Macaca fascicularis: one gene and its partners. The protein of the gene in region 1 purifies or fractionates together with the protein of each later gene. This does not show direct contact. Links are inferred from orthologs where the notes say so. Each region holds a gene or a part of one and is shown in the gene's direction. Other genes may lie near its edges. The genes, in order: SLC12A6, CLGN, LGALS3, RAB6B and STK39.

The links.
Region 2: the proteins of SLC12A6 (region 1) and CLGN purify together in Homo sapiens (affinity purification with mass spectrometry; 3 studies listed by BioGRID and IntAct, with this or other methods). This does not show direct contact. The link is inferred for Macaca fascicularis from reciprocal best matches to the Homo sapiens genes SLC12A6 and CLGN.
Region 3: the proteins of SLC12A6 (region 1) and LGALS3 purify together in Homo sapiens (affinity purification with mass spectrometry; 3 studies listed by BioGRID and IntAct, counting the BioPlex papers as one, with this or other methods). This does not show direct contact. The link is inferred for Macaca fascicularis from reciprocal best matches to the Homo sapiens genes SLC12A6 and LGALS3.
Region 4: the proteins of SLC12A6 (region 1) and RAB6B purify together in Homo sapiens (affinity purification with mass spectrometry; 4 studies listed by BioGRID and IntAct, with this or other methods). This does not show direct contact. The link is inferred for Macaca fascicularis from reciprocal best matches to the Homo sapiens genes SLC12A6 and RAB6B.
Region 5: the proteins of SLC12A6 (region 1) and STK39 purify together in Homo sapiens (affinity purification with mass spectrometry; 3 studies listed by BioGRID and IntAct, with this or other methods). This does not show direct contact. The link is inferred for Macaca fascicularis from reciprocal best matches to the Homo sapiens genes SLC12A6 and STK39.

The regions. Positions count from the first base shown.
Region 1 is NC_088381.1:10,527,262-10,532,750, reverse strand, and holds part of SLC12A6 (solute carrier family 12 member 6), read left to right. Parts: intron 1-1,576; coding exon 1,577-1,696; intron 1,697-1,988; exon of another isoform or gene 1,989-2,149; intron 2,150-2,457; coding exon 2,458-2,562; exon of another isoform or gene 2,563-2,612; intron 2,613-2,980; coding exon 2,981-3,149; intron 3,150-4,391; coding exon of another isoform or gene 4,392-4,427; exon of another isoform or gene 4,428-4,442; intron 4,443-4,509; coding exon 4,510-4,705; intron 4,706-5,280; coding exon 5,281-5,450; intron 5,451-5,489.
Region 2 is NC_088379.1:145,556,324-145,561,812, reverse strand, and holds part of CLGN (calmegin), read left to right. Parts: intron 1-2,177; coding exon 2,178-2,251; intron 2,252-2,907; coding exon 2,908-2,966; intron 2,967-5,489. UniProt on the Homo sapiens protein: Functions during spermatogenesis as a chaperone for a range of client proteins that are important for sperm adhesion onto the egg zona pellucida and for subsequent penetration of the zona pellucida.
Region 3 is NC_088381.1:122,987,888-122,993,852, forward strand, and holds the start of LGALS3 (galectin-3), read left to right. Parts: upstream 1-2,521; 5' UTR 2,522-4,192; intron 4,193-5,965. UniProt on the Homo sapiens protein: Galactose-specific lectin which binds IgE. May mediate with the alpha-3, beta-1 integrin the stimulation by CSPG4 of endothelial cells migration.
Region 4 is NC_088376.1:36,799,589-36,805,835, reverse strand, and holds the start of RAB6B (ras-related protein Rab-6B), read left to right. Parts: upstream 1-2,424; 5' UTR 2,425-2,774; coding exon 2,775-2,844; intron 2,845-6,247. UniProt on the Homo sapiens protein: The small GTPases Rab are key regulators of intracellular membrane trafficking, from the formation of transport vesicles to their fusion with membranes. Rabs cycle between active GTP-bound and inactive GDP-bound states.
Region 5 is NC_088386.1:63,713,578-63,719,066, reverse strand, and holds part of STK39 (STE20/SPS1-related proline-alanine-rich protein kinase), read left to right. Parts: intron 1-1,578; coding exon 1,579-1,720; intron 1,721-3,489; coding exon 3,490-3,545; intron 3,546-5,489. UniProt on the Homo sapiens protein: Effector serine/threonine-protein kinase component of the WNK-SPAK/OSR1 kinase cascade, which is involved in various processes, such as ion transport, response to hypertonic stress and blood pressure.

The DNA.
Region 1 (5,489 bases):
CCCACTGCTACATTCTTCTTTGCTAACTTTCTCCTCGTTCCCTTTCTGTCTTCACTTACCAATGGTGGACAGTGATGTAACATTTATTGGGCAAAAATTAAAATCTTCAACTAAGTTTTAATGCCTCTGATCCTCTTTCTAGCTTTAATGTTAGTTAAAAGTTCTTCATGAGGCCGGGCGCACTGCCTCATGCCTGTAATCCCAGCACTTTGGGAGGCCAAGGCGGGCGGATCACCTGAGGTCAGGAGGTTGAGACCAGCCTGACCAACCTGGAGAAACCCCATCTCTATTAAAAATACAAAGGTAGCCGGGCGTGGTGGCGTATGCCTGTAATCCCAGTTACTCGAGAGGCTGAGGTAGGAGAATCATTTGGACTCGGGAGGCAGGGGTTGCAGTGAGCCGAGATTGCACCATTGCACTGCAGCCTGGGCAACAAGAGGGAAACTCCGTCTCAAAAAAAAAAAAAAGAAAGGTTCTGTATAACTTTGTTTGTTGCTATCTTGCCTCTATTTTTCTCTTTCTCTTTACCCTATATTTTCATTACATCCTAGTTTTCTCCAAATTAACACTCCTATTCATTCTTAAAAATTTATCACAGAGCTAAGAAGTTCATTCTGTACACAGAAAAACTTAAGTAAATATGGTTGTCTACCTAATTTGTGTGGTCAAAACAAGCAATTAATTCATTACCGTCTGCCAGGTTTCTCTTATGTACAGTCCAAAAATAATTTTTCTTTTTCTTTTTTTTTTTTTTTGAGACAGAGTTTCGCTCTGATGCCCAGGCTGGAGTACAGTGGTGCGATCTCGGCTCACTTCAAGCTCCGCCTCCTGGGCTCACGCCATTCTCTTGCCTCAGCCTCTTGAGTAGCTGGGACTACAGGCGCCCACCACCATTCCCGGCTAAGTTTTTGTATTTTTAGTAGAGACAGAGTTTCACCGTGTTAGCCAGGATGGTCTTGATCTCCTGACCTCGTGATCCACCCGTCTCGGCCTCCCAAAGTGCTGGGATTACAGCCGTGAGCCACCACGCCTAGCCCAAAAATAATTTTTCTCAGTGAGTTCTGCAGTTGTGCTAATAAATGTTTATAAACTTTTTAGAAATATTTATATGAAAATTTTCAAAAGATCCTAGAGTTATTAACATTTCTGGCTGTGTGTCCCATCCTGGCTTTGCCAAGTAAGTATTAATTGTCCTCATAACTGCAGGTGACTGATAGTGTTGTTATTTACTTAGTTTTCCAGCAGTTGGAAACATAACAGCAGCTGGTCTGTTGCAAAGGACAGTTTGGGATTTAGTGCACATCTACTGACTGTTTCATGATAAGACAACTGTAGAACTGAGAATAAGCATTTAGAAACTTTTGTGGCAGTGTGACATTGCTACAGCATCCAGGCATGTGATGATTTTTTGAATAATTCATTTTCATTGCATTTTATAAAAGTTATATTTATAATAGTTTCAAAGTTTTTAAAAAATAATCCCTCACTACAGATAGTTTGAGAAGCACCTCTAACAAAAGCTTCTTTTTCAGCTACTTTAAAAGATACTTTTTTGTATTTGTTTTTAATTTTCTAGGGCCCTTTCTTTCATGGGAATGAGTATCTGTCTGGCTCTGATGTTCATTTCTTCCTGGTATTATGCCATTGTAGCCATGGTAATAGCTGGTATGATCTACAAGTACATTGAGTACCAAGGGTGAGTGTGGATTTAATCTTGATCACTGCTAAAAGTAGCAAGACTAGCTAGTTTGGTTAGAGCCAGCTCAGTGAAAATACATTAAGGACCCAGGTAACTTCATTTTCATAACTATATTTTGTACCCCTAATTCTCTAACCGTCTTACTGATGCAAGCTTTTCATCACAAGGGAAATCCATTGAGAAAGTATGAATGGATCAATGGAAAATAACAAAGGACATATCCAAATAATAATGATTAGTACTAAACAAAGTATAACACAAATATAAATATTTTTGCTTATCTCTTCAGTCAAGGGATTGTCTCTGAAATGAAAAAGAAATTAGTTCTGAACAACTTTGTAACTACTAAGACTTACAACTTTCAAAAATGAGGACTCATTCATTCTTATTCAGAAGATCACATTGAACTTTACTTTCTCTGCATTATTTTCAAAGTAACTTAAACTCCAGGTCTGTTATAATTTTCTAATCTAAATTGCTCTTTTACATTATTGTTTTGAACAATTAGGTAGAAGGACTGAATGAGTGACCCCTTCAGGCTTTATTCTGAACTGTTTGTGCAGTGCAGTCTGTTGGTGCTGTTGATCTGCCTACATCGGGTTCATTATATTAGTAAAGAACATTATGTAAATCATTAATCTGAGCTTTAATCTTCTACCTTGCACATGTGTGATTTTTAGATTCAGAAAAAACTTTAGTTTTTAAAAGTATACTTACTATAGTTTAAATTTGTCTCTGCTCTTTTCTTTTTCTCACAGAGCGGAGAAAGAATGGGGTGATGGTATCCGTGGGCTGTCCCTCAGTGCAGCCCGGTTTGCTTTGCTTCGGTTGGAGGAGGGACCTCCACACACTAAAAACTGGAGGTAAAGAAATCAACACTAGCGGTATTTGGCACATAGTTAACACACAAAAATATGTGCTTTGTTGATTACAGGATAAGGAAACCATGTGGCTCAAGGAAATGGTATAATGGACCTCTTTTGAACTATTCTAAATCCTTAATTTTTTTATTCCCTTTTCTTCATGTCACTTATGAGCAAGATTTCTACAATTTATTATTCTTCACAATTTATTATTCTTCCTTGAAGACTGATCAACTCGAGATAGTACTGGGAGCGTTCAAACTAATACCCTCATCCTGTCATTTCCTGTGATTTCTTCCTTCTGTCAAATTACCTGTTTCATACAGATCTCCTGAATTACAGGGTGGAGTCTGTCATTCTGTTCCCCAAACCCAAAATGTTTTCTCCTCCTCTCCAACCCCCACCAACCTCTTCACAGGCCTCAGTTGCTTGTATTACTGAAACTAGATGAAGACTTACATGTCAAGCATCCTCGCCTCCTCACCTTTGCCTCACAGCTCAAAGCAGGAAAAGGTCTCACTATTGTGGGCTCTGTCATCGTGGGGAACTTTCTAGAGAACTACGGTGAAGCTTTAGCTGCTGAGCAGGTAAGAGTCAGACTTTGATGTATTGGAACTCAGCTTACAGCTTTGTGATGTTAAGTAGTAAGACCTCAAACTTCTACTTGAATCTTGTTCCTGAGTGATCTAGGAGGTTTCTCACTTAGTGCTGACCTTTGAACAGACACTTTCTCCCAAATAATAAGATGAGCCAGAAAATAGTTATTTATTCTTTCTTCCCATTTAAAGCATTACTAAATTATAAGATGATTAAATCTAAACATTATTTTCAAATATACTCTAAACATTAAGCACTGAGAAAAGTCATGTAAGTAAATTGATCCCTTGAACTATGGAGAGGGTTCCTCTCAATCTTGTGGCAACGAGTAATGACCAAATTTTCTTCCTCTTCAGTCTATGTGGCATCATGAGCAAGATTCCTTTGCCACTTCTGGTTAGCTGTACTGAACATTAAAGTTCTACTTTAACAAGGAAGTTGTTTTCACTCTAATATTTATTATATATGATAGAATTAATCCTGTTGTTTTTGAAATGCCATTGTGTTCAGTGTGTTCAATGGCATTTCAAAAGTCTTACTGGATTTCATTTTGGAATACTTTGAAATCCTAAACACTAGAAATGCTGAAGAAACATTACTCCAGAATGATGGTAAAAATTAATAAAAGGTACCCAGGATTGAAAATCATGAGATCCTAGTTGTCAGCCACATCACTGATTTAATCTGTGCCTTTGCAAAAGTCATTCCATTTTCCATACCGTTATTCCCTTCCTTTTCCCACCGAGAGGGTGGAGTAAGAGTAAATGCGATGATATCTCCAAATTGGTTTGACTAAAGGAAGAGTAATGCAAATACAAGTGTCATGAATAATCACCATTAAAATGTCAAAAAGCATATGGGAATGGGAGAAGCAAAAAAGAAAACATACCTGAGAAAATTCTAAAGTGAAACTGAATCATCATATTGAGTTTCTGGTAAGATGAGTCAGGGCATGACTGGGGCTGAGGCAGGAAGGAGATCTTGTTCACACTAGTGAATCACCCTGGTCAACTGGGAAAGAATGTTGAATATTCACTTTGTAGAGATCCCTGTTCCCAGTTTTTTGGTATGGTGCAAAGGAACAAAAGCAGAACAGAGGAAAAAGCAGAGAAACTACATGTAGACAACCAGCTACAGAGGCAAAAATATGTAGTAAGCACTTAGAAAGTGAAAAAGATAAAAGATCATGAAATTCCTTTGGGATAATTTTAACTTTTTGGACTTTTCTGTAGACGATACAGATTTATGAAGACTTTGGAAAAAGGTAGGGGATATAATACGGAGAAGGAATAATGGGTTAAAAGGTCCAGAGTGAACCACTTCAGTGTTGCGGTCCTGTGTCTCTTTCAGACCATAAAGCACCTAATGGAGGCAGAGAAGGTAAAAGGATTCTGCCAGCTGGTGGTGGCCGCCAAGCTGAGAGAGGGCATTTCCCACCTTATCCAGTCATGTGGCCTTGGGGGCATGAAGCACAACACAGTGGTGATGGGCTGGCCTAATGGCTGGCGTCAAAGTGAAGATGCCCGCGCTTGGAAGACTTTTATTGGTACTAACCATTTCTCATACAAACCTAAGGGCCTGAGTCGAGGGGATATAGTTAAATCTCTGTCACCCCCAGCCTCCTAAAAGAGATTATGCCATTGCTGAAGCATAGTCTTATAAGGCAACCTGAAAAACTACTAGTAGTCTGGTAGTAATACCAGATTCTACCTGTCCCCTTCAGCTTCACATCATGTTCATGAATTATTTATTTCTGTCAAGTCTTGTGCTAGGAATTATCTCCAAAATTGCCATGTTTTCATTTGTGATTTTCCATATTGATGTTCTCACAGAAATTGGAAGAATTGTTCTTCAGCATCATCATCTCCCAAATTCACATATCCCCCCTTAGAAATGTAGTAATCAGAATATACCCTGTAACATAAACTGTGGTTCTCAGTCTAATTCTGTTAGCTATTCAGATTTTTCACAATGATTTTTCTTATGTAATGAGATAGAATCTAAGTAAATAGGACCCCTTGCTCAAAGAAGTGTGAAGAGAGCATTTCCTTGCTTTCCTGACATGCTAGGAAGCAAGGCAAGCCTAAGGATTCTTCTCTGCTTATTCTTTTTTCTCCCTAGGCACAGTTCGAGTGACAACTGCTGCCCATCTCGCACTGCTGGTGGCTAAAAACATCTCCTTCTTTCCCAGCAATGTGGAGCAATTTTCTGAGGGCAACATTGATGTGTGGTGGATTGTGCATGATGGGGGGATGCTCATGCTACTACCATTCCTGCTGAAACAGCACAAGGTATTTGAGACAACTTTTCTTTGCAAGTCTTTCTCCCTT
Region 2 (5,489 bases), on another chromosome or scaffold:
AGTCCCAGCTACTCGGGAGGCTGAGGCAGGAGAATGGCGTGAACCCGGGAGGCGGAGCTTGCAGTGAGCTGAGATCCGGCCACTGCACTCCAGCCTGGGCGACAGAGTGAGACTCCGTCTCAAAAAAAAAAAAAAAAAAAAAGAGGAGTTTGTCACTGATTACAGAGAACTGAGCTAGTAGTAAGGTTTTTATTCATATTTCTGACACTGCTAGATCTTTTCAAATAAAAGGCCATATAATTTGCAATTCTTCAAGAAGTAAAGTATTTGTCTTTATTTCTCTGAGGAAAGAAAATGCCAAGAAGGAGGATGAATTAGAAAAGGAAGTGATGGTGAGGGGTGAGCATTTGGTAAACCTGACTCATGTTTCTGTCTCAGCATTGTTAAAACATGTATTTTAGAGTAGTGATCAACAGGAGTCTGAGAAATTGCAGGAATTTTTGTATACCTTGATGATACATAAGAGCTTTTACATTGGGAAATATTCATATCTAACCTTGTGATAATCAGAAATATTTTTGATGGTGAGAAAGCATTAATTGTATTGTGCCAGCTACTGTTTGAAGGGCCAAAGGGAATAATATGTAGTTGTTACAGACTTCTTTACTTCATTTCCTCTTATTAAGAATTTTTCATTTGCAAATGTGTTATTTCACTGTCTAAGGTGAATAGTATGTTTCCCCTGTTAAATTTAAGCTCTGTAAGGACAATTTTTTAAAGCCTAGTTCTATAATCTGCAGAAAGTAAGTACTCCAAGTACTAATAATTACTGACTTAGATACAGTTACCACAGGATCTTTGAAGGTTAATATTAATACTTCAAAGAAATTGACAGGTAACTACCACTCTTGACTTATTTGGTGATACTTTGAGAATATGATAAGAAGTGGGAAAGAATTATTTTTGATGCTGCTAATTTTATAGCATGAGTAATCTACATAGGGTGAAGTATAAATAAAGGGCAAAATAAACTGATTTTAGGGGTGGCCTATCAGAAGGAAGTCTCTTGTGACACTGTTGCCCATTTTGTCAATCTATAAAAATACAGAGAACAGTAAAGTTGTAATTCAGTAAACTTCATAGAAGATTGGCAGTTTAGGTAGCTGAATCTTGACCCTGTCAGTAATTTGTGGAATTTTGTGTAATTACCGATTTTACCCCCTTAAATAGACAGGAAGTGTTTTACTATCAGGGTGGGATAGGGACAGTGAAAATAGAAAAAGTATTTCTGCACCCTTTTCCCTAAAGCCTAATGGAAGAAATCTCACTAGTCATACAGATACAATCACAACAGGCTGATTCTGAGAGGATCCAGACTAACCTATTACTGTGGGCAAATTTTTATTTATTGGTCCTCAGTTTAAATTATCTTTTGATAGTTTATCAGTCTTTACTCTTTTAAATTATTTTGTTGGTAAATTCTGTATCATGTAGTAAAAATGCATGAGCTTTGGAATCAGACAGTTTTGGCTTTATATATAAGTCCTACAATTATCTAACTGGACAGCAGTAAGCAAGTTACTTTGTCTGTCCCAATTTCATCATATATAAAGAGGGCACAAATGGTACTTCCCCCATAGGAATATTATAAGAATTAAAGGAGCCACTATATCACCAGCAATACCACTGCCACCGTCATCATTATTGCCACCCTAACAGCTAACACTTCAAAGGCACTTGAAACAATGCTTTGTTGATCATTGTTTTGCAATGCTATCTCCATAGAATCTTTTCATTCTCTGGGTTCCTAATCTTGTAAAATTATATTATTATATTTTAGGGTACCTAACAGTAAAACTTAAGAGTTAATTTTAAAAGCCTATGTGCTTACTAAGCTCTACATCTTATATGCTTTTCATTATGCTATTTCCTTTGCTCCCAAAGAGTTTTATCCACAAATATTGTCACTTGTCAGAGTCCCTTTGTTCCTTCTGTGTTAGAAGGGGTCAGTGTATCCACTGTTTGTATGTATAGTATTTTTGTCATCATGGTATTTCTTATATTTTCTTGTACCTTATCATTACTAGGATACAAAGTTTTGTACAGGTATGGGTTTGTCACCTCATATCTGTATTACCTGTATGTGCATTGCATACTATGTTCTTCACTAGGAAGATTATTTAATTGAAATATTTGTGAAAATGAATAACTTTAGACTTGGAAAATCTCTTTTCTAGATTAAATATAAGACACCTCAACCTATAGGAGAAGTATATTTTGCAGAAACTTTTGATAGTGGAAGGTTGGCTGGGTGAGTATTCATTCAAGAGAATGTTTTGATTTATTAGCTTTTTTGAAGTTATTAGGTTTTGACCTGTGAAAATTACCTCTATTACAGATCTAAAAAAAAAATTAAAGTAGTTTAATTGACAATGTAAATCAGTACTTAGTATATTTTTGTAATTGATAGAATGTTTAATTTGAATAGTTATTTATTCAAAGAAAATATACTAATTCTGAATGTAAAGATGAAATTTATCATATGTATTCATTCTGTAGGACAGATATTAACACTCTTTAAGTTCAGATGACAAATATGAGTACTGTTCTATTACAATAATGGAAAAAACAAAAATTAATATTAAAATTATTATGTGTCAGATGTCCTAAAAAGAAATAGATAATTACCATATTTAATCCCCATTTTACAAGTGAAGAAACCGAGGCTCCTTGTACCTTACCTGTGATCATACAGTTAGGAAATTATAGATTCCAAATTCGGTTTAACTCTAGTCCTCCAGGATTATGTGGTGAAGGCATCCTTATTTAGCATCTAAGTATGAATTTATTGTTGAATGAAAAGTGACTGTATTGGGTGATCTTTTGTTGTGTTTCTGTATGCATTATATCTATAAGTTGCTGATTTTATTGTTAATGACATATATGTATGTTCAACTTTGTTTACAGATGGGTCTTATCAAAAGCAAAGAAAGATGACATGGATGAGGAGATTTCGATATACGATGGTAAAATATTTAAGTATTAGATATAACCGCTATGGCCTGGAGTTCACTAACTTTTGAGATTATATTTTTGTTAAATGGTGTTGGCTGGAGTCCCCCATGCTGCCTCGCAATAAAATGTTCAGTCTTTTATCTTGTCCCTTTTCAATATTTCTGAAAACCCCTTTGCTATTTCTGAAAATCTCACTCCTAATCCAGTTAATCTAGTTTTCTAACTGAACAGTTGAATTTTCATTCTACTGCTGGTTAGTCTTTTGCATTTCCTGAAGCAGTATTTCCCAGGCTACTGTTGTCTCTATGGTTTCATCTCAAGCCTAGACACACCTAGATCAAATTATAATTTATGGTAAGATTCTCCTAGCAAGTAAAAAGCAGAGGATAACTAATGAGAGCTACAAGATATGTGGCTACTTCTGGAATCCTCATCTCCAGGCCTATATCCATTATCATAGGGTGTCTAATAGGATTATCTTCAGTCTTAGCTCTAGAAAGAAATGTCCTATAGGCAGGGGTCATATTGTCTTCCGTAACAGGACTACCTTAGAGTATAACCAACTATTTTCTTCTTTGTGATCTAAAAACCAGCCTCCTTGATTGTTATATGCTGAATCACGATCGGCCTCTTCTCACAGTGACTGATAGTGGTAATGTCTTCTTTCTCAGAGGACCTCATACTCATAAACATGTGACCTTGCGCTCAGACCCCAATAAGCAGTTACATCACAACAGCAAAACAGATAGTATGTTGGATGTCAGCTGTCTGATTCCTTTTCATAGTTTCTGTTTAGTGTAAGATAAAGGTCATACCTACATGTCTTCCTTTGCATCGTGTTCGCCATCCCAGCAAATCCCCTGTGCATGCATACACACACACACACATATATGTGTGTGTATGTGTATATATGTCTATATGCTTATCTAGTCCAAAAAGGACACCACCTCATATGCACAGAAAAAGCAGTAGAAGCAGTAGTGGGATTGCTGGACAAATAGTAGATCTGCTTTCAGTTTTTTAATAAATCTCCATGCTGTTTTCCATAGAGGCTATATTAATTTACATTGCACCAGCAGTATATAAATGTTCCCTTTTCACCACATCCATGCCAATTGTTTTTTGACTTTTTAATAATGGCCATTCTTACAGGGGTAATGTAGTATCTCATTGTGGTTTTAATATGCATTTCCTTGATGATTAGTTATGTTGAGCATTTTCTAAGCATGTTCATTGGCCATTTCTGTATCTTCTTTTGAGAAATGTCTATTTATGTCATTTGCCTACTTTTTGATGGGATTAATTTTTTTCTTACTGATTTGTTTGAGTCTCTTGATTCTGGATACTAGTCCTTTGTCAGATTCACAGGTTATTAATATTTTCTCCCACTCTGTGGGTTGTCTGCTTACTCTGATGATTATTTCTTTTGCTGTGCAGAAGTTTTTTAGTTTAATTAGGTCCCATTTATTTATTTTCATTTTTGTTGCATTTGCTTTTAGGTTCTTTGTCCTGAATTTTTTGCCTAAGTCAATGTCTAGAAGAGTTTTTCTGGTGTTCTAGAATTTTTATGGTTTCAGATCTTAGGTTTAAGTCTTTAATCCATCTTGAGTTGATTTTTGTATAAGGTGACAGGTAAGGGTCCAGTTTCATTCTTCCACATGTGGCTTGCCAGTTTTCTCAGTACCATTTATTAAATAGGGTGTCCTTTCCCTAATTTATGTTTTTGTGTGCTTGGTCAAAGATCAGTTAGTTGTAAGTATTTTGCTTTATTTCTGGTTCTCTATTCTCTTCCAGTGGTCTGTGTGTCTACTTGAGACCATTACCATGCTATTTTGATAATATGTCCTTGTATAATTTGAAGTCAGGTAATGTGATACCTCCAGATTTGTTCTTTTTGCTTAGGATTACTTTGGCTCTTCAGGCTCTTTTTTGGTTCCATATGAACTTTTGGATTTTTTTCCTAATTCTGTGAAAAATGTTGTTGGTATTTTGATAGGAATTGCATTGAATCTATAGATGACTTTCTGCAGAATGATCATTTTCAAGATATTGATTCTTCCAGTCCATGAGCATGGGATGTGTTTCCATTTGTGTCATCTATGATTTTTTTTCAGCAGTATTTTGTAGTTCTCCTTATATAGATCTTTCACTTCTGTTAGGAATATTCCTAGGGATTTTATTTATTTATTTTTTTTTTTTGCAGCTATTGTAAAAGTTATTGAGTTCTTGATTTGATTTTCAGTTTGGTCGTTGTTGCTATGTAGCAGTACTACTGATTTGTGTACATTGATTTTGTAACCTGAGACTTTTATTGAATTCATTTATCAAGTCTAGTAGTCTATTGGATGAGTCTTCAGGGTTTTCTAGGTATGCGATCATATCATTAGCAAACAGTGATAGCTTGACTTCCTCATTTCCAATTTATATGTCCTTTATTTCTTTCTCTTGCCAGATTGCTCTGGCTAGGACTTCCAGATAAAGTTGTTACTTCTTAAAATAAGACCTTTATAGCAGGCGAGGGGCAAACTACAAGT
Region 3 (5,965 bases), about 110 Mb from region 1:
CCGTCTCTAATGAAAATACAAAATTGGCCGGGTGTGGTGGTGCATGCCTGTAATCCCAGCTACTCAGGAGGTTGAGGCAGGAGAATCGTTTGAACCCAGGAGGCGGAGGTAGAGGTGAGTTGAGATTGCGCCATTGCACTCCAGCCTGAGCAACAAGAGCGAAACTCCGTCTCAAAAAAAAAAAAAAAAAAAAAAAATATATATATATATATATAGGCTCTCCTCCAATTACTGTCTTTCTTTCTCTTTTCTGCTCATCCTTAAAGACTTTCCCTTTTTGTTCTCATCTTCATCTCCTACTCTTCTGGCTCTAACTGAAGTTCTTACCCAGTTTCCCTCCTGACCTTCTGGACCGCCACCTGCTTTCCCAAGGTTCCTCCTTTCCCTCCTGTGGAGATGCCTCTCTTAGAACCCTTGCTTTTATCAGGGGCCTACAATCTCTGCATCAGTAGAAACCAGCCAGCCTATTTGTTTGAGGGCTAACACTGCCTTGTGCCTTATTTCAAATAACACAGTGATCTGTACATAGAAGTTACTCAATGATATTTTAATTGATTTTATTAGGTTTCTTTTTCGCTTATCTTAGAAGAGGTATATGACTTTGGATTGGGTAATAAAGAGCTGTTTATTGCATGTGTACAAATTATAAATTCCCAGGCACACCTTGATCATATCAGGATCCTTTTGTTAGCTTTATGGGGCATGAAGTTGGCACCAAAGTATTCATGGGGATGCACAAGTAAGGAAGTGAAGCCAAAAGGATGTCTGATCATACAATCAGGTGTAAGCAAGCCCCCTAAGTAGCCAGGGCATGAACTTCGTCTATCTCCGAAATGACCAGAAGAAAAGGCAAGAGTGTGTTTCTTCCTTTGCCTCCACAGCAATTCATTTGGCTATCTACTTTTTTTTTTTTTTTATTACCAATGGCTAACCCTCTAAGGGTACCACGCCTGGCCATGAGGCCTCATGACTCAAAGTCTTAAGATTTATAGCATTTTCCTTGGAGACCAAGGGCATTCCTGTGGGTGACACCTTTTTATTACCCAGAGGTTAGTCATTTACTATGGTGATCTATTCAAATAAATTGGTTGCCAGGCCACGTCTTCAGGTAAGAGTTCACATTTTCATTAAATAATCCCCAGCCACACTGTGACTTCTATGTGCAAGCCTAGAGGGGACAATGTTGCAGGAACAGTGCCAGCCACTAAGACACTTTCAAATTTATCCTAGAGAATGCCAAGACAGCTTCTCAATTCCATCAAGTGAGTCCCTTACAGGAACATATCCCTAAGCTGAAAAACTGCAGGAAATAATTTATCTTTATGTTATTAATTGGTTACTATAAGGGCTACAGGAATTATTTAGGAACCAGATGATAACTGGTTTTCTCCATAGGTTACATAAGCCGGTTCCTGCAAAGATTCTTCCCTTACCCCCCTTAATTTTTTTTTTTTCCTCAGAGATCCTTGTTTTGGCCTGCAAGGATTCTTTGACCTGGTGCTTTTCCAGATAAAGTTTAAGAGTCAGGATTTCTGGATTTTGTTCCTAGACATGAGTGAGCTTGGATAAGTAAATCATTTTCTCTTTTAGTCTGTTTGGGCTTCTGTAACAAAATATCATAAACTGGGTAGCTTATAGATAATATACATTTATTTCCCACAGTTCTGAAGGTCGGGAAATCCCCAGGCCAGCAGATTTGGTGTCTGGTGAGGGCCTGCTTTCTGGTTCACAGAGGGCGCCTTCCGGCTGTGTCTTCACATGGTGGAAGTGGCAAGGGGTCTCTCTCCGGCCTCTTTTATTAGGGCACCGATCTCATTCATAAGGACCCTGCCCGTATGACCCAATCACTTCGCAAGGCCTCCACCTCCTAACACATCACCATGAGGGTTAGGATTTCAACATATGAACTTTGGCGGGATATAAACATTCAGACTATAGCACCCTGAGAGTAAAAATGAGATAATAATACTTATCTCTTTCTTCCAACGAAAACATAAGGTGAAGTTAAAAGGAGGATATATATATATAATGTGAATTTCCTGTGCAAAATGTGTTAAAGAGTTGTCTAATTGCTTCATAAGGGAATTGCTTTGAGACTAGGCCTATTGATCTAGAATAAGTAGTCAATTTGTAGTCAGTTCCCTAGGCAATAGACATTGAAAAGGTTTTTGGTTTTGTATTCTACAAATAAAGCAACCTATTAATTGAATTCCCCTCAGTGAATTCTTCACTCAGGTGATTCTGGAGAGGGCGGGGGAGAGACGCGGCCGCAGCCCAGGCCCCCGGAGCGCCACGGAACCGAACGGTGGTGGCAGAGGGCGCGCCCCTCAGCCCGCGCTCTGCCCGTCGGGAGCTTCCTGGTCGCCCCTGCGGCGGCGGCGCGGGGTGTCAGGCGGACGCGGGGCTCGCCCAGCATGGTCCGGGGAGAGGCTGGGCTGGGCAGGGGAGCCGCCCCGCCTCGGGAGAGGCGGGCCGGGCGGCGCTGGGAGTATTTGAGGCTCGGAGCCACCGCCCCGCCGGCGCCCGCACCTCCTCGTTAGCAGCCGTCCGGAACCAGCCAACGAGCGGTGAGCGGCGCGGGGCGCTGGGGACGCGGCTCCGGCCGGGCAGGGGTGAGTGCGCCCGGGCGCTGCTTAGGGCGCGGCTCGGAGGGGTTCGGCTCCCCGGGACCAGGCCGGGACGCGCGCGGAGAGCCCCACAGCCTGTGCTCTGCCCTCCGGGTGCGGGGCGGCGGGCCCGGGGCGGTCGCCTTTGATTCTTGAGGGCGCTGGCGCTCGGGAAAGGTTGGCAGCGCCTTCCGAGACCCACACACGTCCCCGCGGCGGCACGGGCCACCTTCTGCGGAGCCTCGGGGGCTTCACCGCCGTCGCACCTCCGCCGGCTGCGCTCTGCGGCCCCGGAGTAAGCCCCATCCGGTGAAGAGCCGCGGTCTGGTCACCCCAGTCCTGCCAGGTCCCGCTGCGAGGGGAGGCGGAGGGACTCGCTCAGCAAACCAGACGGCCGCTCCAGTTTCTCTAACTGGGGTTGGGGCCGGGTAACCCTTCCCCAGAGCTCGGCCGCGGGGGAGCGAAGGGACTTCTGAGGACTGCATAGGGCGCCTCCCGGAACCCACAGCTTGGCTCGCCCGGCCCCTTTTGAGCATCAGCTGAGGCTGGACTCGGAGGAGATCTCTCTGTGGGGCGCGAATGAGTTCTTCCACGAGGACCAGCTGCGGCCGGGCTGCAGCCGCTCTCTGGTTGCTAATCCCACAGAAATGGTGCTTGCCCCATGGCCTGAGTGGGCATGACCCGGCTTAGCGAAGACTGCAAACTCTTAAGCTTTTCCGAATCAAATGCCCTTCCCTGCCCAGACTGTCTGTGCCGAGGAAGTGTTGGGTGTGGCAGAATGTTGGTCCTAGTGTGCAGAGCCCTAGCGGGGGACTCCCAAAACATGTTTGAGAGTTTATTCTGAATTATTGGGTGCTCAAATAGAAACACTAAAACGATTGCCCTCTGAGAAGTAGGCACTAAGGGCCAGGGAATCGGGGACGCATGGTGGAGGCTGGGACTTAGGCCTCAGTCTTACCCTTCAAGTTAGCCATGCCGATTCCAGAGACTGCGGAATGTTTGTAAAGTGACTCTGGGAGTTGGGTTGCTGCACAATGAGGACACCTGGACCTCAGTGACCCAGGCTGTTTCTAGGATTGTGGGAAAGGAATGGGAGAAGGCTCAGTTAATTCTGAAGAAAATGAGGCTGATACAATGAACCACTTGGGCACAGAGCTTGAGAAGAAAAAGCTGTCGTCAGCTTCCAAAGTTCTGATTTGTTTACTTCAAGGTTTTTGTTTTTTGTGTTTTTTGTTTGTTTTTTTGAGACGCAGTTTCACTCTTGTTGCCCAGGCAATGGCACGATCTCGGCTCACTGCAACCTCCGCCTACTGGATTCAAGCAATTCTCCTGCCTCAGCCTCCCGAGTAGCTGGGATTACAGGCATGCGCCACCATGCCCGGCTAATTTTGTATTTTTAGTGATGGTGGTGGTGGTGATGGGGGTGTCTCTCCATGTTGATCAGGCTGGTCTCGAACTCCTGACCTCAGGTGACCCACCCGCCTCGGCCTCCTAAAGTGCTGGGATTACAGGCCTGAGCCACTGCGCCTGGCCTACCTCAAGTTTATAAACATTTCATGCTAGGAAATTGTGTGTTTCCACGAAAGGTAAAGTTGAATAATGATTATTTACTTTTCTCCAACAATGGTCTCCCTTTTAGACATTGACTCTAAATCCTTAGGGTAGGGTCTCTCATTCTAGGGATGATCATACCCCATCCTTGATCTTTGGGGGATTTAAGCAGCTTCCTAAATTCATATTTAGAGGTGACATTTAAAATCAGCACTTAGTCCAGATTCTGGGGAGAAGTTTGATGATGGTCCTTGAATATTTAGCACTTAGAAGTGCTAGGAGGATGCCTCAAAAGTTACGTAAGAAGCACAAGAGGACGAGTACCGCCTGATGGATTGACCCTGAAAACTAGTTGTGTCCAAGTAGAATAGGTGTCTTGCTCTGTTAAGAGGTCTTTAATCTATGATAGTTCGCTGTGCTACAAATATGCATAGGTGCTTTATAAAGACTTTTCACTTAGTGAGGTCAAGAGGCTAATGCTGGTCTCATGTATAATTTAGGTACCTTTTTACATAGAACTTTCATTAGCCAGACTATAAACCTTAACTGCAGCCGAGACCTATGTTCATGTAGTATGCCTTCAGAATCTCGTGTTGACCTTAAATGCCAAGTGACTTGTAAACTTACGTACTTGATACTTGCGGTAACTGATCTCAAACATAGCTCTTCTTTCCTGTCGTTTGGGACACAGGCTCCCACTCAAGGGTAGCTCCTTGTGTCTGGTGCCTGAACTGATCTTCTCATTAAATTCTGAGTGGGTAACTTGAGAGCCAGGCTAGGCAGTGCTTGCTGTATACTTCCAGTTCGCTATTGACTAAGTGTCATGTGTTCTCTTTTGACCCCTGTTCAGCTTTTCCATAGCGGGAAAAAATCAGTCACTGAGAAGCAGAAAGTAACTCTACCTTCCTTGATGCCAGGGAGCTATGATGAGAAAGAAATCCTAGGAAAGGACCAGTTCTCTTTATTCCAACTTAGCATCACTGAATTTGTCTTTGGAAAATGGGCTTTCCTCAAGTCCTGCTCTGTGTTTCAGCAAGGACAGAAAGTAGACTGCCTCTTGTGCTACTTGAGGAGCAGTGTGGGGCAGTGCCTAGGGGCTCAGGAAACAGTCTTCTTCCGTTACAGCTTGCGTACAGGTCAGGGACCTTTATGAGCAGAAATTTCAGAAGTGTTCCTGGGAACCCAGACAACCAGACTGATTGCTGGGTGGGCCTAGAATAGCATAGCGCAGCTACGCTTTGTTAAAGGGAAAAGCTACCAGTTAACTGATTAAAATGGTCTGTATTCTAACTCATGTTTAAATTCCTTATTCCAAAGCTACACTGAACTGCTTACTGTAGGTGTTTACAAATGTGGAGACCCAGCTAGTATTTCTCTACTTCTAGTTTATTTTTTGAAGTGTTTTTTTTTTTTTTTTTCCCTCTGACTCTTCAAAATTATCTGATCCTGGAAACACCAGGATGGGGTTCACATATCTATAGTGTCTGTAGAGTGGGAGGATTTCTGACATTTGATTGTATGTCTCTCTCTGTAAACTACTCATCTGAAAAGAAAAACGAAAAAAATTTTCAGGCAAGTAAGGATGATATTTATCTGAATAGATGTCTTTTTTTGTTTTCCTGGAAGTTTTGAGGTTAATAATCTTGATTTCAAAAGAGCATCAGTTATAATGCTTTTTTTTTTTTTTTTCCTCTTTTTCTTGAGATGGAGCCTTGCACTGTCTTCCAGGCTGGAGTGCAGTGGTGCCATCTTGGCTCACTGCAACCTCTGCCTCCCGGGTTCAAGCAATTCTCCTGCCTCAGCCTCCC
Region 4 (6,247 bases), on another chromosome or scaffold:
AACACCTGGGGACCTGAAAAGTACTGTAATATTTGAGCCTCCAGTTGTGTAGAGGGTAAATGGGCACTCATAGTGATGGGTTTTCTTTGTAACTTACATATACACAGCACATACTAAATAGGAAGATTTAAAGATTTTTTAAAAATGGAACACACAGATGCTATTTGGAAGAAACTCTTTCTAGTGAGGTTGCCAAGCTGAGGTTTAGTGGCAACATCTTCCACCTGGAGAAAGCCTGTCTGCTCTAGGGCAGGTTAAGGACAAGACCCAAAATCAAGAGAGACAATCAATGATAGTTGGAGGAGAGAGACTTGGAGCAGAGCAAACTTGGAGTCTCTACGGCTCTCATTTCCACAGCATGATGACTGCATTCTGAGACAATGCCAGTATCTGCTCCAGCTACATAAGCCAGCCCAGTAGTCGGAGCCGGGTTTTTGTCATTTGAACTGGCAGATTATGACAGAGTCCCCCAAGGTAAGCTGGACCATAATTAGCCCAGCTGGACCTGGTAAGCATATGGGATGACTTGGAGGCTTAGAGGTGCCCAGAGGGGCCCTGCCCCAAACTTCCCTCCCCTACTGCCATACCACCTTATATATGCAGGACCAGATGATCAGAGGAGGTACAGGACTTGCCAAGGCTTACCCAAAAGATGCTGCCTTTTCTGGCACACCTCAGCTGCTTTGTCTTGCCACCGATGATCTCCTCAGGTCAGGATGAGAAGGTACAGGGAGACAGCACCAGATGTTAGGAGAAGGTGCAGGTTGGAGGAGTGTTGCATGGCTGGGTACCTTGGCCAGTAGCTCCCTGGCCCTTCTTTGGAGGGATCACTTACAGAGACAGAACAGGCTGTGACTTGGGAGTCTCCTCTCCTTCTAGAGCTTTCTTCAGCCCTAAGCTGGATATGGTCTCCTAAGAGAGCAGGAGCCCCAAAGAAGTGGGTGGGCGTCTGGAGGGTTACCCTGAGCCTGGTGCCAGCCACAATGGGGCAGATATTCTAGGTGATGACTTACAACCCTTGACGTTCCAAACTAAAGGTGATTATGAGAATAGGAGTTATTTTGATTTGAGTTCTAGATGTTCATTGGAACATTCAACAACTATTTCTTAAACTCTGAGCTATGTCCTCAGGACGACTGCTTTTATGGAACTTGCGGGCAAGTTTTTAACAAGAAATAGAAGAGAGATTCGAGGTGAGCACACCAGGGAGACAGACAGGCTTGCCCAAGCAAGCCCCATCAGTCAAAAAGTGGGTAACAAGTGTCCGAGAAATCTGGAGATGAAGGTTGTGTCTCACTCCTCTTTCTCTTTGTATAACACATGCGTGCACACACCATCGTGTTCACCAACATGCAGACTATTATCTCAAATAAATGCTCACTGAACAGCCATAAACGAACAAGACCGCGCTGTGGCAGAAGAGTAAGGGGCAGCTTTGTCAAACCTCAATTAACCAGCATGCCTTAGGCTCGGGCTGTCCTGGGAGTGTTTCTAGCGCTTGGCTTCTGCTCTTTGCTCTTACCCACTCACAGCTTGGTCTGCGTGCCTTGATGGACCAGGCGAGTAGAGGCCAAGGAGAGGTCACCCACGTGTCCTCAGAGAGCTCATTGTCCAGATACACGTAATTGCCAGGGTGGGGAGTGGCGTTGTCAGCCTGGCGACCCCAGGATCAAGAAACGCAGGGCACTGCACTGTCCTGGAGATAGTGGCACTGGCATTCAGAGTGTCACCGTTCCTTCTCTCCCATGGGGCAGGTTATGATTTAGCATAAAATGATCCAAATGAACAGCTGGTTTGAGGTAGGCGCGCCCTATATTGGCAGCTCTTCTCTCGCTGGCCAGGTCTGCGGGGGCACCCACAGACCCCACAAGAGGCCGCCCAAATAAACGGTCTAGGCCTCAAGAGGGGAGGGCGGGCTAGAAGCCACACGGGGCAAGAGTCGAGCTCCATCTGCGCCAAGTACGCCAGGTTTCCCTAGGTCTGCCCGCCCTGAAGCGCCTCGCCACACCCTGGCTCTCCCCCACCTTCGTTCCTTTCCGCCCTGTCGGACGACTGCGCTGTGCATCGGTGTCTCGCGAGGTGGAGAAAGGGACTGGCATCTAGGTTTAAAAGACCAGAAACAAAAGTCCCCTGACAATTTCGTGTCATTTTCTGGATCGAAAGAGGGGTAGAGTGAGAAAGACGCAGCGGGGCAGTGAGAGACGGTCCGACCCGGGGGCCTCTCAGGGGTACAGCGAGGAGGTTCTCTCCTGCCCGGGTGCGGACTCGGGTGGGCGGGCGCACGCCCCCCAGCCCCGCAGCGCCGCGGGCCCCGCATGACATCAGAGGCTGGGGAGAGCGCAGAGCGCAGGCGCCGGCAGAGGAGGGAGGCGGGAGGGGGCCGACTGGCGCGGCTCTAGAGAGCGCTCCTCCGCCCCGCGCGCCGTCCCTGCGCGCCGTCCCTGCGCCCCGCTCCGCCCGCGCCTCTCTCCCCACGCCGCGCCTCGGGCGTAAAGAGCGCGCCCCTCGCACCGCAGCCAGTGCCGCCCGCAGCAGCCCAGCCCCAGCCTTCCTCCGCCTACTCCTCCCTCTCCTCCTCCTCCGCCGCCGCCGCCGCCGCCGGACACGCAGCCGCAGGCCGGGGCCGGGACGCAGCTGGGGAGTCAGGGACGCGCACAGCCAGCCCTTCCCCCTCCGGCTCCCGCACCGCCGGCCGCCTCCCCTCGCCCTCCTCCTCTCCCCTCCCTGCTCCTTCGCTTTTTCCTCCTCCTCTCCCGGCCCCGGCTGCCACCACCATGTCCGCAGGGGGAGATTTTGGGAATCCACTGAGAAAATTCAAGTTGGTGTTCCTAGGGGAGCAGAGCGGTAAGTACCCGGCTTAATCTCTTGGCTTGTCGCCGAGTCGACCCCCGTCGCCCAAGCGCCCACCCCATTGGGACCACCGGCCGCGGCTCGGAAAGGCCTCTCCGTGTCAGGATAGAGGAGAGGGACAGGGATGGGGAGGTCGGGGCCGGCTCGGGCGGGGTCGGACTGGGGAGGGGCCAAGGGTGAGGACGGAGGAGGTGCTGGCGCCCGGGGTGGAGGTGAGGGTGGGCTCTGGGTGGGGGGCCCGGGGTGCGGGTGCAGGTGCGGCGCCGCAGGGAGCTCGGAGGGCGGCGGCTGGCTCCGCCGCGCGGACCAGGGCGTGAAGGACCCGGGCTCGCTGGCTAGCTCACACTGCGGCACCGGCTGCGGGCGACCGCGCAGGTGGCTGGGTGCTGCCGGGGGTGGGGAGAGCGACGGGCGCCCCCCTTGGAGAACGAAGCGAAACTGGGGTCTGGCCGACCCCCACTCCGCTGCACTGGAGGGGGGTTCCCTGCGGACTCTGCCGGTAACCATGCGAAAGGGCACGTCCAGGCGCTGGGACAAATAGCCACCGGGGAGAAAAGACCGGCACCTGTCTCTGTTCCAAAGAGCGAGTGCAGGCCATGAGGGAACGGGGCGCCTACCTCCCCTATCTCACGTCCGACTGGGCACAGAAGGTTCTAGACCCGGTGCCCTTCGCCAGCGCTCGGTAGCCTCCTTGCTGTTCAGGGGTCTTGGCAATGACAGTGAAGGCTACCCCAACTCGAGGCGATCTGGGGAATGATACAGGGGCAGCTCACACCGAGAGGCTGTGAAGTCTGGCTCTGGGCAGAGAAAGGCCCAGGCGACACGCCCTGCCTTGCTTCCCAGCACTCCTCCTGAGAGCATCGGTGGATTCTTCCCACCCCCACCTCCCAGCTCACCGCCCTTCTTGGGGGAGGGGAGGTCACCGTGGCAGCCGGCCAGAGCTGGGGGAGGGGGAGACTGCTTCTCTGCTGCCTGGCTCCCTCCCCAGGAAAACATCTCTGAAAACCAGCTTGGTCCCGAGGCGGGAAGCCCAGATTGAAGAGCAGGGACCCCTCTGCCACCTGTAGGAAGGAGTGGCTTTCGGAGCATCCTTCCAGAGGCCTCTCGAATGGGGCTGCAGGGAGACAAACTGAGCTCTGGTCAGCTCTGCTCTGGGAGAAGGCTGTCCTTGCCGAGCAGGACCCCAGAAGGCTGTCCTTGTCGGGCAGGACCCCAGCTCTGGCTCTGCAGACCCTCTCTGACAAGGGGGTCCAAAAGAAAGGCAACTGTGGGAGGATTGGGTGGGCCATGAACAGTGCTACCGTGCTGTGTGTACATGAGGGTTATGGAGGTCATGTGACTGGCCCCTGTCTGCTGATGCTCATTGCCTGAGATGGATGATTCAGAGAAGGACGTTAGAAGGTAGTGTCCAGGCCCAATATGGAGATGGGTTTGGGGGCCAGGTTGGGTGTTTCAGAAGATCCTCTCAGCCAGCCAGCATTTGCCTTGGATTCTGATTGCCTGTTTTAGTAGATCCCAGTTTCATGGAGCTGACCATTCCCTGTGTCTGGAAGGGATTTTGGTGGTGTTCACATCCCAGTGCTAGTCTCACCGGGCCTGGAGCCCTGGGAGATAACCTGTGGGGATCAGGCAGCCTGGGAGTTGAATTCTTAGCTGTGTTGCCTTTAGTAAAATTTGAGGCCTCTCTGTGACTCACTTTCTGTCTCTGAAAAATGGTTGCTTGAAGACAATTCTTTTACTTCTTCATGTTTCCTTAGTGCCTCTCAAAGTGCCTGGACCCTGGTAGGTTCTCAACAAACATTTGATTATTCTAAGTCTGCAAAAGCTTTAGAAAGGACTAGGAGTTTGGTGAATAAAGTGTCTCTGGTGAATTTCAGGGAACATCTGGGCTCCCTCAGAATTCCTGATGAACAGAGACCCCTGCTGGGCTCCACAGACCCCCTTTGCTCCCAGAAGCACAGAAATGATAGCTGAAGTCTAAGAAATGAACCCACCACCTCTCCCACATGTTCAAATGGGAAGTCTGAGCCCCAGGGAACAGGGAGGCCTTGCCCAGAGTCCCAGAGTCCCATTGTGAGTTGCTAATACTTCTGGGCTGGAGCCTCACCTCTCGTTTCCAGTCCAATATTTTTCACTAGCGTGTCATTGTGAAGTAAGATGACCTTGAATTGGGGAAGCCAACAACTGGGGAGCCTCCCCAAGAGGGAGTTGGGTTGCTTCTGTACGGCCAGGCTTATAGCTGGGGCCTGTGACTGATAGGAATGCTGAGTAGTTGGTCAGGAGCAGGGTTGTGGGCCCTTGGAACATGGTCATTAGAGAATCACTGCTGTCGGTGAGATGGCTACTGGCATCTCACCTGGTGCCTTCTGTCAGGGAGTTCCAAGGCCCCAAAAAGCCTGTTTCCTGTTTCCACTTTGTTGCATCGTTAGTGGGTTGTTTTAGGTTTTACAGAGCTTTTGAGTTAGGTAGGGGACATGTGCGTCTCTAAGCCTTATGGGATGGGGAGTCACCTCCACAGCCGCTTCTTCTACCTTGCCTGCACAGTTTTGCATCTGTTGGTCATTTGTGCCAGCATTCTCTGCAGCCTGTGCAGTGGAGAGAGCCTCCTGAGGGCTGGCCCTCATGCTGGCCCTGGCTCTTTTTATATGACCTCAGAGTTCCTTTACCTTCTGTACATGGGGGACTTGGGCCCGCTGAGCTCAGCAGAATCTTTCAGAGCAACATGGGCTTGCCGATATGAGCCGAGTCCCCTGGAGATGGGCCAGGGGAAGGAGCTAGAGGGATGTGGCTTTATCTTATTTCCTGTGCCTAGCATAATGGTGACTTTTCTCTAGGCTGGTGGGCAACGGCAGTGGATTTCCAAGAAGAGCGGCGTGCATGGACCAGGGGGTGGAGCACACCCTGGGTCAGATAATCCCGGCTGGACATCAGGTCTTTAAAGATATCAGGGAACTGGTTTAAATGGGAGGCCCTTGAGAAGCCGCTCTGGAGGAAATACCTCAAGCCAGTGAAAGAGCCCCCTCCTGGCAGCTGTCCCCCTGGCCCGTGGAATATAGGCTGGGATTGTGGGGAGGGTGCTCTGGGTCCAGGGTGAGAGATTTTCTTGTGGCAGGGAGGCTGTGCAGTCCCACTGGTGCCAAATGGTTCTCTGGGCCACTGGATATGCCCTTTTGCTGATGGCAGTGGTAGGAGACATGGGGGGTGACATACATCAGTCCCAACTGGGGCATTTGATGGCGTCCGAGAAGACAAGAAGGAGCAGGTGTCTGAGGAAGGAGAGTGGGCCTGTGGGACCCACATCTTCCTCCTAAGCTCTAATGGCATTCTGTCGGCTTTTAGGCCTCACTGGGTACATCTCAGTGTGTGTGGTGGGAAGGGAGGGTCAGGGATGTGTCTG
Region 5 (5,489 bases), on another chromosome or scaffold:
CTCTGACGAAATGAGAAATTCTGGTGACTTGAGATGCTGAATTAGTCCCAAGTGCTCTGCTCAAGCTGAAGATTTTACCTTTTGCTTTTATGAAGCTGAGAATCTTCTGTTCTCTAAGGAGGATCTGACAGAAAATTTATTTGTCTTTTTAAGAGTCCAATTTAACCTCTCTGAGCTTTAGGTAAGAACAGGTTTTAAACAGGTTTCTACAGGTAGGGATGTGGGCAGACGTGGACTCTTACTCATTTTTCTTTCAGCAGGGCAGAAATGCGTGCATGCCTGGTATGGTATATCCTTATACAATAAAAAGAAAATGTATTTACAATTACCATTTTTTAAATGACACAAAAGTCTAAGAGTCAACAAATAAACAGAGTGTTTTTCCCCCCCTCTGGGGAAAAATATGCATTTGTTTTCTTCTATTTCATTACATTGAATCTCTTAATGAGGGGCAGGCAGCTATATCTGATGGGGAAGCTCAGTCCTCTTAGTTAATTATAAAGAGCCTAGAGCCAAATTCAGGTCCTGAGGTAAGCCATTTGTTAATTCTTCAGAAATGTCAAACCCCCAGGTAATTTTGGCTTTTAAACTGACCCAGGGGTTTGGAATACTAATTAATATGTGTTGAAACATGAATTCACAGTGCCAAGGATACTAATCTGTATATGGTAACAAAGTACTAGGTATTTGTTTGTTTACTGTAAGTGTTAGTGCCTCAAATATATAAGGTAAATGAAATAAAGATCAGCCGGGTGCAGTGGCTTATGCCTATAAGCCCAGCACTTTGGGAGGCTGAGGTGGGCAGATCTCTCAAGCCCAGAAGTTCAAGACCATCATGGGCAACATGGTGAAACCCCATCTCTGCAAAAAATAGAAAAATTAGCCAGACGTGGTGGCATGTACTTGTAGTCCCAGCTGCTTGGGAGGCTGAGGTGGGAGGATCGCTTGAGCCTGGGAAGTTGAGGCTGCAGTGAGCTGTGATTGCTCCACTGCTCTCCAGCTTACATGACAGAGGCAGACTCTTTCTCAAATGAAAAAAGAAAAAGAAGGAGAGAAAATAAAGATCATGCAGTGTCACAGGAAGGAATCTTCTGGTTATAAACAGAGGTCTAGAAACAACATCCTTCTTTCCCCCTCCCAACTATGATTTAGGTCCTCAGAGAGTGGGGTTTTTTCTCTCAGCAGTTCGCTTCTGCCTTTTCTCCTGGCCTCATACTCCTTTCTTTGTCAGTTCAGACTTTTTGCACCCTCTTTGGAGGGTTGCTCTTAGGAATTTTTGTGAGAAATGCTGTAACCAGTATTTCTAGGGAAAAGGAACCAACCATGGAATGGCCATGAACAGCCTTCTGGTTCCTGACCCAGAATCCTTCTCATTAAATTCACACTGAAAGTGCTCTTGCAAACTTGGATTTAGTGTTTTTGGTCATGGGGCTGTCATTCAATTGTTTGTTTGCCTTGTGAATATTTGCATTAAATAAACAAAGCCCATATTTTGATGTTTCCATCACATTTTATACATAATGGAGTCTTGTTCTGAAAAGGTGATGAAGGTGATAATTCTTCTGTTTGTCTACTTAGGTTCAATGTTGGATATCATAAAATACATTGTCAACCGAGGAGAACACAAGAACGGAGTTCTGGAAGAGGCAATAATAGCAACAATTCTTAAAGAAGTTTTGGAAGGCTTAGACTATCTACACAGAAATGGTCAGATTCACAGGTATGACCCCTGCAGAAATGTTTAAATGAGCTGTTCATATCTTCAGCCCTAGTTTATAAAGAATGTTAAGGAAACACATGTTGCAGGCAGGTATTGACATTAACTTAGGCTAAATAGATGGGAAAAAAATACTTAAGAAAGAAACAAGTGAATACATTTTGATGAATTATATTGGTATCCTTGAGGATTGCTTCAGTGGCTTTCACTGAAATAAGAGTGGAATATAAAAAGGACACATGGACTCATTTTAAAAAATCAGTCTTGGTAACTACTGTTGAATTATACTAATTGAACTAGATAGCACCTCTATCTTTCTAATACAAGCAAGACTATCCAAACATTGTAATATGTGAATTATTTTTGATGTGGTGGTGAGAGGGAAGGAGGAGGCACACATCTTTTGTGACATAAAATGTTAATTCTTTATATAGTCAAATCACATAGAATAGGAGTACTTGATGTTTCAAGTGAGTTAGTGCTACTTGGGCTCTTAGGAATTATTGCAAGTAAATAGCCATCTACCCATAATACTAATAATGTAATTCTCCTACCCTGAAATTTATATTTAATTATTTCTACTATATTTTTCTTTTTTCTTTTTTTTTTTTTTTTTGAGACAGAGTCTTGCTCTGTTGCCCAGGCTGGAGTGCAGTGGCATGATCTCAGCTCATTGCAACCTCTGCCTCCCGAGTTCAAGTGATTCTCCTGACTCAGCCTCCTGAGTGACTGGGATTACAGGCACTTGCCACCATGCCTGGCTAATTTTCATATTTTTAGTAGAGATGGGGTTTCACTATGTTGGCCAGGCTGGACTCCCACTCTTGACCTCAGGTGATCTGCCCGCCTCGGCCTCCCAAAGTGCTGGGATTACAGGCGTGAGCCACTGTAGCTGGCCTATATTTTTCAATAATTAGAAAAAAAATTACTTTAGAAATCAAACTTATAAATTGCAAATTGTCGTTTTTCAAAGTACTAAGATTACACAGGTTTTATATGGTGAAGAAATATACTATATAATAATTAGTATTTATAATCAGTCTCTCACCAGAGGAGAGAAGTTCATTTTTCAGAAAGAGAATTAACTTGGAATTGCACCCCAAATTGAAGTGGAAGTGGAGGAGCTTTACATAGACTGGGCTTTAATACTTGATAGAATGACAGTAGTGTGAGTTTTTGGGCAGTCTCTAACTCTGAAGCATAAAATAGAGAGTCTACTTACTGAAGATTTAATTAAATTTGGATAATTATTTCATAGAAAATATTTCTTTCTAAAATGCTAACTCTCCCCCAGGAGTAAACTATAAAATGACAGTTGAATCCTTACACCTTTTTTTTTTTTTTTGGAGACTGAGTTTCACTCTTGTTGCCTAGGCTGGAGTGCAGTGGCGTGGTCTTGGCCCGGGTTCAAGTGATTCTCCTGCCTGAGTCTCCCAAGTAGCTGGGATTACAGCCACTTGCCACTGCGCCCAACTAATTTTTGTATTTTTAGTAGAGATGGGGTTCCACCATGTTGGCCAGGCTGGTCTCAAACTCCTGATCTTAGGTGCTCCACCCGCCTTGGCCTCCCAAAGTGCTGGGATTACAGGTGTGAACCACCATGCCCAGCCTATCCTTTTAACCTTTAAAATCTGTGATATAATCTTAATGTTTATGAAATTATTATGTTAAAGAGCTACATTGTATGATATGTTTTAAAATCTTCCTGAGTGAATCAATACACTATAAAGTCTGTACCCTACAATTTATTTTCTATTTTTTTTTTCTAATAGGGATTTGAAAGCTGGTAATATTCTTCTGGGTGAGGATGGTTCAGTACAAATAGCAGGTAAAACTGATAAATAGAAATTTTTTTTACTTGATTACAGAAGTGTTACAGTTTCAAGGCATGTCGAATCATTCCTGAGAAATGAATAAATGCATGTAATCTCTTTTAAGAATGATACTTACAGAATGTTTGGGTCTGAAGGATAACATGTTTTCTTTATTGTTTTGATAAGTCATTAGATCATCCTGTGAAAAATACCATTTTAGTACATAGCTTTTTGATAAAGAACAATTTTACTTTCAATTTTACTATGTTTTCTGCCTTTCACATTTTATAATGGTAATACTCAGATAACTTCAAGAAATGCACTTGTAAAAACGTTTTTCGATAGGTTTGAAAATTTAAAGCATCATACACATCAATTAAAAACTAATTTATTTCTTAAGAGGTATCTGAAAGAATTGTGAACATTAAAAATCTGGGCCATGTTTTGTTCTTAACTCTGACCCAACATGGCTATTCCTGACAAAGCTGGTAGACTGGGGATGCAATGAATGAATGTTGCATGAACACGCAATATCAGGTGAGCACCTTCCGTGTTCAAAGCCTCTATTTTGTTATTGGCCCTAGAGTAGCCTTAAAGGCCTGAGATAAGATGTAGCCACGTCCATATTAACTCTTGCTTTACCCATGTTGTTGAAAGTCTGTCTCAGCAATCCTTTTAGCTTTCATGGTTTCTTTAGGGGGTGTTCTTGGCATTTTTTGGCCAGACAGTCCTTCCCTATACTGGACTGACCCTGTCATTGCAGAGAAGAGGAAGATGAGCCCACTTGTACCCATCACCTGGTTTCAATAATTATCAATCTTTGGCAATTCTTGATTCATCTGCTGCTCCACCCCCGACAACCCCCTGACTCTGGTGCCTCTCCTCATCGTGGATGCTGGATTTTGTTCTTGAGCCATCTGAGTTAGTGCTTTGTGTGTGCATATCTTGTCCTGATGAGTGGACTTTATCCCACAGGCTAGGGACAGTTTGAATAAGTACTTCAGTTAAACAAGTAACAGCTGAAAAACATCTGTGGGCAAAAATTTCAAACTATCCAGTCCCCAAAATTTCAAACTCTCCAAACTAACTAGTTGTTCAGAGTGCAGGCTCTGTGTCAGCTGACTTGGTCACAATTCTGAGGCCACCACTTAGTAGCTCTGCCACCTTGGGCAAGTTACCAAACCTTCTTAAGACTCAGTTTCCGTAAAGAGGGGTAAAAATATAAACTACTTCATCTTCTTTGGTGAAATCAAGGTCCAGTGATCTCAACAGTGGCCGACACATAATAGGCATGCAGCAAATATCAATAACTACTGTTTTACCATGGCTGCTGTTGCTACTACTGTTGCTACTGTTACTACTGTTACTTCTGTTACTATGACTAAGAGGATCACACTGATACTCCCTTGCACTGACTGGAGATCATGTGAACCTGGAATTGTCCTGCCAGAGCTTCAGCTCTGAGGAGAGTTTATGACTTATCAAAAGGTGATACTTATTAATTATGGAATTTGGAAGCTAACTTGCCATTAATCTTGCTCTAAGCTGATAAGGAAGTGCAACTAATTTTCTGTTTTATGATGAAATGATGATTTCTCACAAAAAGGGTCAAGATAGTGAACTGCCTTTGAAATGTGAAGGCTGGTCAACCTCTGCCTTATTCTGTTACTTGGTCTTCTGCCAGTCATCTCTTCCCATTATTCTTGTCAGATTAATGATCTGAGCCTCTTCCTGAGCCTTCTGGAACACACTGTCCTTTTCTTTTTCCCAGTAGGAATCCCCGAGGTAAGATCTCCTGACTTTTTCCCTCTGTCACAGGCCTTTGGGTTTTTCCTCACTGCCGAGGTGTCTGTTGTGACCCAATACATGCCTGCACTGCGGGGGGCTGCTGAGTTCAGAAGGGCTCAGGCAGGAAGCCCCTGCGTGGGGTGGTTGTGGGAATTAAGTGAATTGAAGTG